Cricetulus griseus: one gene and its partners. The protein of the gene in region 2 purifies or fractionates together with the protein of the main gene of each other region. This does not show direct contact. Links are inferred from orthologs where the notes say so. Each region holds a gene or a part of one and is shown on either strand. Other genes may lie near its edges.

The links.
Region 1: the proteins of Usp15 (region 2) and Rnf40 purify together in Homo sapiens (affinity purification with mass spectrometry; 4 studies listed by BioGRID and IntAct, with this or other methods). This does not show direct contact. The link is inferred for Cricetulus griseus from reciprocal best matches to the Homo sapiens genes USP15 and RNF40.
Region 3: the proteins of Usp15 (region 2) and Tut1 purify together in Homo sapiens (affinity purification with mass spectrometry; 4 studies listed by BioGRID and IntAct, with this or other methods). This does not show direct contact. The link is inferred for Cricetulus griseus from reciprocal best matches to the Homo sapiens genes USP15 and TUT1.

What each region holds. Positions count from the first base shown.
Region 1 is NC_048596.1:73,156,338-73,159,474, forward strand, and holds part of Rnf40 (E3 ubiquitin-protein ligase BRE1B), read right to left. Parts: coding exon 3,003-3,137; intron 2,927-3,002; coding exon 2,801-2,926; intron 928-2,800; coding exon 787-927; intron 702-786; coding exon 600-701; intron 1-599.
Region 2 is NW_023276806.1:134,020,105-134,023,604, reverse strand, and holds part of Usp15 (ubiquitin carboxyl-terminal hydrolase 15), read right to left. Parts: intron 822-3,500; coding exon 648-821; intron 1-647. UniProt on the Homo sapiens protein: Hydrolase that removes conjugated ubiquitin from target proteins and regulates various pathways such as the TGF-beta receptor signaling, NF-kappa-B and RNF41/NRDP1-PRKN pathways.
Region 3 is NC_048596.1:51,133,579-51,137,078, forward strand, and holds the end of Tut1 (speckle targeted PIP5K1A-regulated poly(A) polymerase), read right to left. Parts: intron 2,680-3,500; coding exon 2,570-2,679; intron 2,433-2,569; coding exon 2,322-2,432; intron 2,204-2,321; coding exon 2,111-2,203; intron 1,599-2,110; coding exon 475-1,598; 3' UTR 425-474; downstream 1-424. UniProt on the Homo sapiens protein: Poly(A) polymerase that creates the 3'-poly(A) tail of specific pre-mRNAs. Localizes to nuclear speckles together with PIP5K1A and mediates polyadenylation of a select set of mRNAs, such as HMOX1.

The sequences.
Region 1 (3,137 bases), on a different chromosome or scaffold from region 2:
GCTGATGTTGGCCCCACATCTGACCACGATTTTGAATAAAAACCTCTGATGGAGCTGAAGATGCAGCTTAGTGAAGCATGAGCTTGGTTTGTAGACGGCCCTAGGTCTAATCCCCTGCATTGAATGCTCCTCCACTTCCCCAAACCTGATAAATAAAAAGCCTCTACTCTGTGTACAGGCTACAAGCCTGCCCCACACCCTTCGGGGTCTGCTGCTCACCCATCTCTCCTCCAACATCATGGCTCTACCTGGGGCCTTTCCCGTACATAAGCTCTCACCCCATTCTCTAAGCTTTGGGTCTATCTTAGGCGACAATTCCTTCTAGGAAGCCAGTTGCTACACAACCCCTTCCCAACCTCAGGGCTGCTCTGGAGACTTCCTTTGGGCTCTTACCATGCCTCTGACATCACATTACTTATCACAGAGATGGCAGCATTACCATCAATTAACTGCTGGGGTCGGGACAAAATCCCTCCCCTGCCACATGGCACATACACAACAAATGGGTTCTGACTGCACACTTAGTGTCTTCTGCCGTCCTGCCTCATTCTCCAGCACCAAAGACGACCCAACTCTCAGTAGCCATCACCACATCCCACCTTATACTCCTTGATCTCCTCCTGCAGGATCTCATCAGCATCTGCATAAACCTCCACCTTCCTTTGCTTCTCCAGTTTGCGCCGCAGCCGGGAAATATCCTCCTAGATCAGAAGATGCCAGGCTAAGAACCTGCATGCCTGCATGCCTCCCGCACTGGTAACCCACAGGCCCTCCCCAAGCACATACCTGAGCCCTCTTGAGATTGAAACTCTCTTTCTCTCGGGCAGCCCGGCTCTCTGCCAGGCACGGCTGGATCTCTCGAAGCCGAGTCTGCACATGCTCCAACTGCACCTTCAGGTCCTCAGCCAACTGGGCTGCTTCTACAGCCTGAGGTGGGTGGGAACAGAAAGAGAGGACTGTATGCCCAAGCCTGGGGGGCCACAGTCCACGGATCCTTCTGTCAAACATCCAGAGTGACGTCTGCACTGAGGCTGACCCTGCCTTGTGGTCCACAGCCTCACATCTTCCCAACACAGCTCCTTACTGTGTAACAGTGCTCCCTCTGGCCTTTGAGCCTCCAGCAGGCTCTTCTCTCTCCTGCCATCAGCAACTCTCCCTGGGATGCAGCTCTAAAATCATGTCTCCAAGGAGCACTATTACTTTTTCACACAGCCTTAGTTTCTTTCATCAAGCTGTTTGAACCAAGTATAGTGTGGCATGTGTTTGTCGTTCCAGCAGTTTGGAGGCTGAGGCAGGAGGATCACTGAGAGCTCAATGCTAGCCTGGAATACAGTACAAACTTGTTTGAAAAAGAAAAAGAGCCTGGTGTGGTGGTGCACACCTTTAATCCCAGCACTTAGGAGGTAGAAGCAGACTCTCTGAATTCAAGGCCAGCCTGGTCTACAGAGAGAGCTCCACAACAGCCAGGACCAACTGCACAGAGAGATTCTGTCTCAGAAAACAAATGAGCAAACAAGAAAAAAGGAAAAAGAAAAAGATGTGAGTGACGGGCAGCGTGACTTATGTGTGGTGTCACTGGTGGGGAGGGAGGGCTCACCCAGTGCTGGTTAGCATAAAGCCGAGCATGTAATAGGGACATAAAAATCCTGCTTACATGAATGAATTCACCAGAAGAGAATACACCAATAGTTATGAAATCAACATTAATCCGGTCTCTTTAAATTCTCTCTTTAATAATTTAATATTTCCATTTTATGAGCATTGGTGTTTTGCCTGTATTCATGTCTGTGTGAGGGTGGTGGACCCCCTGGAACTGGAGGTACAAACAAGTGAGAGCTGCCATGTGGGTGCTGAGAATTGAACCTAGATCCTCTGGAAGAGCAGCAATCTTAACTCTGAGCCATCTCTCCAGTTAATCCTCTTTCTCAATCCACTTTCAAACAAAGTCTCTAAATATTCCAGCCCAAGCTGGCCTCAGACTTGCTAGGTAGCTGAGGATGACCTTGAACTTCTTGGCCCTCCTGCTGACCTTTCCAGTGCTGAGTTTATAGGCCAGTTTTTATACACCATCATGCCCAGTTTATACAGTGCTGGAGCCTGAACCCAGAGCCTGATGTATGCTATGGAAGTTTACTCACCGAGTTACATCATCAGTCCGTTTTTCTTTTGTTTAATATAAACACTTATACTCTCAGCACCTGGGAGCCTGAGGCAGGAGGATCAAGAATTCAAGCTGGGCTGAAGAGATGGTTCAGTAGTTAATAACACTTGAGTTCTGGCAAGGGACCTGGTTTCAGTTCCCAGCACCCATGTGGCAGCTCACAGCCATCTATAACTCCAATTCAAGGGTATCTCATGCCCTCTTCTGGTCTCTCAAGGGCACCAGGCAAGCTTGTGGTACAAAGACGAACAAGTAGGCAAAGACATTCATATGCATAAAATCAAATAAGTAAATATAAAAACTAGTGCATGTGTTTCATCTCAGTACTCAAGGCAGATCTCTGTGAGTCTGAGGCCAGAGACCAGCTCTGTCTAGTCTACATAATGAATTCCAGGACAGCAGGAGCTAAATAGAGAGATCCTATCTCAAGACACACACACAATAAAAACAATTAAAATCTATCACTGCCCACACAGTAGTTGGTGAAGTGTTCACAAGCACCTGAGTTTGATTTCCAGAACACACAATTAAAAAAAAAAAAAAAAAAAAAAAAGAAGCAGAACCAAGCTTCACCCTGATCACCTATCAGGACTGCCAAGCAGAGCCACGGGGAATACATGCTCAAAAGCCCAGTCTTACCTTCCTCTTGTTAAGCTCCAGGGCCTGGCTGCGCAGGGTCAACTCCTTCTCCACACCCCCAAGGCTGCCCTGCAGAGCCCGCTCCTTTTCCTCAAGCTTCTGCACTGTCAGCAGCTGGGCATCCACCTGCGGATGGGAGGCCTCAGTACTGGGTGCAACCTCTCCAGCTTCATCCACAAGTGTCACACCATAGCTGCCATACCTGAGACTTGAGGCCAAGAACCTGCTCGCCCAACTCATCCTTCTCCTCTCGGAGCAGCTTGTGAATCTGGTTGGCCTTGATCCGCTCTGACATGAGTTTAAAGTTGGCGTCATCCTTTTCCCGCAACTGCTGCAG
Region 2 (3,500 bases):
TTCCCTTTATTAGTAACCTTTTTCATAAAGATTTAGTTTTAATTATGTGTACACAAGTGTGAGTTTGCACCTGAGTGCAGATGCCCATGGAAGTCAGAAGAGGGCATCAGATCCTCTCCAGCTTGAGTCACAGAGGCATTTCTGAGCCACCTGATGTTGGTGCTGGCAACCTGGGTACTGGAAACTCAAGTCCTCTGGAGAGGTAGGAAGTGCTCTTAACTGGAGCCATCCCTCTCCAGCCCATTTCCAGACATTAAGAAAACAAAACCACTCCAGGCGTTGGTGGCGCACGCCTTTAATCCCAGCACTCAAGAGGCAGAGGCAGGTGGATCTCTTTGAGTTCGAGGCCAGCCTGGTCTCCAGAGCAAGTGCCAGGATAGGCTCCAAAGCTACACAGGTGTCTCAAACCCCCGAAAGAAAAAAAGAAAGAAAGAAAGAAAGAAAGAAAGAAAGAAAGAAAGGAAAGAAAGAAAGACAAAAACAAACAAAGAGCCCTAATCACCCACCCTGTCCTGTGCCCTGTGTCACATGGATGGGATGACACTGTAATGGGACATCATCCCTTTCACCTTAGTATTTTTTTCTTTTCTTTCTTGATTTTCTGGGGACAAGAGCACACTTGCTGAGAGTAAGCTTATCATACTCACCTTAAATGCTCTAGGAGTGACATAGCTGAACTTTCCAGACCACATCTGCTTGATCAATTCAGCATATGACTTAGCTATTTCACCTCTCATTCCTAAGGGATTGTCAAAATTCAGCTCTTCTTGGTACTTGTCATTGAGGAAATATTCAGTAAGTGGAGGTGTGTTGCTCAAACACTGCAAGGAACAAAATACATCTTAAAGTAAAAGTAATAACATAAATACATAATGTTAAAATGAAGAGTGAATCAAATCAATTTACTCTATCATATACAGAAACAAAAATGGTCTCTTGTACTAATTAACTGTCACTCAAATGGGGCACTTACTCATTTCACAAACTTTCAATCAGTTACTTATAATAAAAATACTAATGTGTGTTGCTGCAAAATCTACATTTAATTCTGACCACAGCAAACTACCTGTTAATTGGGAGAGAAGCTCGGAGTTCTCTTTCCTTCTTTTACTTGATTGGTAAGAATTATGGATTGTCTAATCATCCCAGGCACCTGAAAATGAGCCTGAGCAGGTAAAAACTGAGATAGCATGCAAGAAAAAAAAAAAAATCACTTAAAAGAGGTACAGATGGTTCATGATATCCATGGCCTCAATTCAATTACAGATAGGAGAATATTTGGGAAAAAAAGTTACATTCATACCTAACAAAAGTTTTTTGATCATTATTCTTTAGCTGGTAAAATGTAAAGGCACTATAGGCAAGCTAGAGATGATTTAAAATGTATAGGAGATACCTAGGTAATGTGGTAATTGTAAGTCATTTAATATAAAACACTTGTGTATCAGCCGGGCATTGGTGGTGCATGCCTTTAATTCCAGCACTCGGGAGGCAGAGGCAAGCGGGTCTCTCTGAGTTCGAGACCAGCCTGGTCTACAAGAGCTAGTTCCAGGACTGCCTCCAAAGCCACAGAGAAACCCTGTCTCAAAAAACCAAAAACACTTGTGTATCTGTGGATACCATGACAATGACTGTATTTACTGCTTCTGCAGCCAATGCCTTATCATAAAGGAGTTTTTAAACCTGTCATCTGGCTGGCAGTATTTATAAATGATAGTATTGACCAGTAAAGCCTAGGAAGACAACTTTGGGCAAACCCTGTTTTTTTTTTTGTTTGTTTGTTTGTTTTTTTGGGGGGGAGTTCGAGGCAGGCTTTCTCTGTGGCTTTGGAGGCTGTCCTGGAACTAGCTCTTGTAGACCAGGCTGGTCTCAAAGTCGAAGAGATCTACCTGCCTCTGCCTCCCGAGTGCTGGAATTAAAGGCGTGTGCCACCACCACCCAGTTTACAGTTCTTAATACAATAACAATCCAATTTTCTTTTATGAGAAAATTAAAAACTGCAACAAAGTTCTCCAACTTGTTTTTTATTTGAATCAATTCCTGATAAAACATTTAAGAGATGGTAGAAACACATTTTCCCACAATATTTTATCTTATGATGGAATAATTTTAAATTGATGATGTATATAATTTGACCTCAGTAGGAGCCATGTTACTTTACTAATGAATGTTTCAAATATGTAAAGTGTTACATACAGTATAATTATCTAAGTCATATAAATAGCCATATATACCTTTTTATGCAAGAATGTATTTTTCTTGGAGTCAAGTGACAAAGTGCTAGAAAAGAAATCAGTTGCGTGTGTGAAACATTAAAAAAAATCATTCTGTTCAGAGTTTCAATAGTCATGGAAATCAAAGTTTTGGGGAGCTGGTATGCAACTAAGTTGCATAAAGTTAAAAAGGCTTTGTAGTGATGTTCAACATGCTGGGATTATGAAGATAGTTTAAATTATGACCATATTATGTAGTCTGGTCAAAATACCAATGTAAGCATATTCTTTTACTTAGTTCTTTCAAGTAAATTATGATACTCTTTTTTTTTTTTTTGGTGTCAACTATACTCACTTATGTCTACTAAGTCATCATAGTTATCTATAAAATCTGAATGTAGTCTAAATTGGTAGTCAAGCCCCAACCCTCAAGAGGACCTTGGAAACTTTGCAGGCCTTGAGAGTCCTTTACATTTGCTTCCAGTATTAAAAAAAAAAAAAAAAAAAAAAAAAAACAACTTTGTATTAAGAGAAAATACATAGGGAGTTTATAATGTACAAGGTAATTAAGGGAAAGGATACATTCTTTTGATCCCAAATCCTTTTATGTCTCAACAATCATATATCCCACTTGAGTTTCATTTTCTTCTTTTGTTTGACATTTCACTTTTAATTGCAAATGAAGCACTGGAGGGAGGGCCAGGCAATAGAGACCTCATTAGAAGAACACAGCTGCAGTCACCTAGCAGCACCCTCTCATTTGCCACAAGTAGCAAAGGGGCAGTAACAGCAATATATAACTAGCTCTTAGTTTCCAAATCTTCATATTTGATTTGGTTACCATTATTAATAATTAATTAATAAAGTCTATTATTACACTTATACAAATAACCAAATTTATGGCTTTACCAAATAGTTCAAAAAATAAGCGGTGCTAACATGAATAATTTCTGAACATTATTTTTAATAAATTATTCATGAGTATTCTTAACTTGCAAGACCTCCCAAATACAACTAAAAAAAATTTTAGCTCTCTACCAGTGATCTTTTAAGCGTGTTTAATATTACTTCCTTACACTCATCTTAGAACCCAGTTCTCAGATATTCCTCTGACAATAAATGAATGCCTTTACTTCTTTGTGCACTGACAGACAGTCCCTTAACTTCTATGCTTCCTCTCAATGCCACACAACTTCACCTATTTGAAAACTATCTTCTCGCCATATTAGTTCCATCCTCTAAATGAGATTCGGGTATCCCATCTGGGATGTGCTCTCAGATCCTCAA
Region 3 (3,500 bases), on a different chromosome or scaffold from region 2:
GGCAGGGCTCATGGCCGAAAACATCTGAAAGTAGGTCTGCGATGACTAAACAACCTTGATGTTAACTCTACAACAAAGGGGACCGGCAAACTTGTATGTCACCTGCACCTCTCAAGCCGGGCTGTGCTCCAGAAGGTCGGGTAAGGTAGACCAGTTCTAATGCAATAATTTACACATATCCAAATTTGGAAATCTCGTATCCAACTTAAGGGAAATTTGAACTCACTCTAGTGTTAAAGGGTAGAAAAGGCAGCAGAAATCAGTGCCTTTGTCTTGTGGTGTGGAACTCCCTATAAATGTGGTATGAGGTGGGAAGACCTCTGAAGTGGACATAATGACTGTTTTAGGATAGTCAGGCCAAGCAGGGCAGAGGCTACATTAAGACAGAGAGAAAGTGTTACCAGGTAGAAATCGCAGTTGTCCATTGTCTGTATTAAATAAACTACCAGCTTTATTGTCTGTGAGGTCGCCTCCTCACTCAAGGAGATTTTTAAGTGCTTGAGGGAGAAAAACCTGTAGGAAATGATGAAGCCCAGGGAACAGGCCTTGGGAATCTTGGACTGGTACCACAGTGAGCGCCTGGTCAGCTTGGGAGACAGATGCCACAAAGGTGAGGAGGGGCTCCCCCTGTAGCCTCTGTTGCTCACTGTCTGGTCCTTTCAGTTCCTGGGTCACACGAGCTTCCATTGCCAGCCACTCTGCTCCAGTGGTGGTGCCTCCTCTGCCTTCTTCTTTGGTTTGTTGCTGTAATCGTCTCCGGGCACGCCGCCTCCCCTGCCACACTTGGTGCCACAAAGCACAGCGCCAGCTCGCTGATGAGAGGTGTGATGTTTCCTTCCCTGTCTCACCCTGAGACTCTTCTCCAGCCACTTCGGGTTCCATGGGCTTCTGCTCAGCCAACTTGTCTAGACACTTCCAAGTCATCAGGGGCAACTGGCCTGATGGTGCAGAGCTCAGCAAGGCCCTGCCCTGAGACGTCTCTCGAAACTCTATTACCATTTCTTCCACCCCATTTTCACTGTGGTCCCCTGCACATCCCTGCGACTTCTCATTCCCCTCCTCCCAGCTCTTCTCTTGCCCATCTAGTCTCTGTCTTTTGTTTGTCCCTCCCAGGGAAGGGTCTTTGGTCCTGGGACCCTCTGACCTGGGCCTCTTGGTTCCCTGTTCTATATGACATCCAAGCGCTTCCTTTAACACTCGCACAAGAGCCGTAACGATCTGAGGAAAGGGGGCAGGTGGTAAGGGGATGAGCTTGGCAGACAGCAGGGAGCTAGGGGAGCTGGGCTGCAGAAGTGGCAGTAGTCCCCAGTCCCGGCCCCGGAAGGAACGCTGCTGGTACTGGAGGCTTCGGCAGTAACTAGCTGCTGCCCCACAACAGTTCTGCAGACGTCTGGCCACCCGGCTGGTTACATTGGCTGCAACATTGTGACTCAGGTCAAAGGGATCCTGGAGATTCATGGGGCCAAGGCGCAGCCCCTCCCAAAGATCAGAAGGCAGGCCCCCTGACACCAGCAATGCACAACCTTCCCGGAGGGACAGCAGGGAGCCCGAAAGATCCCAGCAAGAAACACAAGAGAAGAACTGGGCCAGCAGAGAACCTGGAAAAGGCAGATTAGGAAAAGGGTGTCTGTCACTTAGAAGCCATAATTGGGACATCCCTGCTGCTACTTCAGTAGGACTTTCTTCCCTTCTTAGGGCTTCAAAAGTGTCCTGAGAAATCCAGCTCCTCAGCCATGTCCTGCCCAGATGCTGCTGCTTGCCCTGGAGAGCAGTGTAACTAGGGAATACACCTCTTACTTAGCTGCCCAAGATATGGTTTTGTCATCCTTAAAACAGCAACCATGAGGGCTGGAGAGATGGCTCAGAGGTTAAGAGCAATGCCTGCTCTTCCAGAGGTCATGAGTTCAATTCCTGGCAACCACATGGTGGCTCACAGCCATCCGTAATGAGATCTAGTGCCCTCTTCTGGTGTGCAGGGATACATGATACATAGAGGCAGAATAATAAATAAATCAAAAAAAAAAAACAACAGTCATGGGGTTAGTGAAGACCGTGCCTATTCTAGAACTTAATATTATTGTTAGTTGTCTCCTAGGTTCCCCAGACTCACTGAGAGGCTCTAGGTTGGTGCTGGGCTCCAGTCGGGACGCATCCTTGGGGAAACTACAGTCCCAGCCATCAACTTCTACCTGCTCCCCTTCACCTGTGACAGTAAGAGAGGGTCAGGCTGGAAGTAGGAAAATTGGGGAAGAACGGGTAGAAAGTGGGGTGACAGTTGAGAAGAGGCTGCGGAGGTGACAGTAGAGGCTGTTCTGCATTACCTGATCTCTGGGTGAGCTGGGCCACAGGAGGAAGCACTGGAGGGTCTCTAGTCTGAAGGAAGTAGATCACTAGCAACGTCAAGGCGTAGTTATTGAGAAGGGGGCCGCCCCCTGAATAATAACCAATAATTCCAGTTAGGAAGAAGTATTTATAATCCCTGGTTCCTGTGCCCACCTTTTTTTCACCCTAAATCCCTCCCTTTGCCTAACACTAGCTCGGGCCAAGTCTGTGCTCTCCTCATTCTCACCTGACAGCCCATTATGCTGAGCCCAGCAGCGTACGGTATACACCAGAGGCCGGACTCGACCATCCATCTCAGAGCAGAGATTCAGGAAACGGGAGTTGTACAAGGCCAGCCTGGGACAATGGAGACACAAAGTTGTTATGGTGTAGGAATTCTTCAGACCTAATATCCTTCTATCTTTCATTATAGACTTAGGACCAGCTAAAATAAGATCCAAAGAGTTTTTCCCAAAGTTTTGCTAAAACACTGGTTATATGAAGGGGAACAAAATAAATAAATCTAGGGAATGTGGTTAAATGATGGGACATTTGCCCAGAGCCTGAGAGGTGGGGTGGGGGGAGTATGTATCAGTGGAACCTTAGGCAACACTACATTCCATATGCTCATTCTATACAGTCACCATTCATAAACCATGCTGCTTATATAGAACTGTTCAATAGCTGGGTATGGTAAGCATATGCCTATAATCCCAGCACTCAGGAGATTGAATAGGGAATATGGAAACCTTGTCTCAAAAGATAGAGGACCAGTGAGACGGCTCAGTGGGTAAGAGTCTGCTACCAAGACTGATACCTCAGTTCAGTCCCTAGCATTCACATGTTACAAGGAGAGAGCTGACTCCCACAAGTTGTTCTCACTACAGAGATGAGATATCACAAACAAACACATAATTTAAAACTTTTTTGAAGCCAGGCATTGGTGGTGCATCCCAGCACTCGGGAGGCAGAGGCCAACTGATCTCTGTGAGTTTGAGACCAGCCTGGTCTACAGAGCAAGTGCCAGGACAGGCTCCAAAGCTACACAGAGAAACCCTGTCTTGAAGAAAAAAAAAAAAAAAAAAAACACAGCACTGCAAACTGCACATTCCTGTAATCCCAGGATTCAGGAGGCTAAGGCAGGAGAATCAAGGGCTGGAGGCCAGTACAGAAGACAG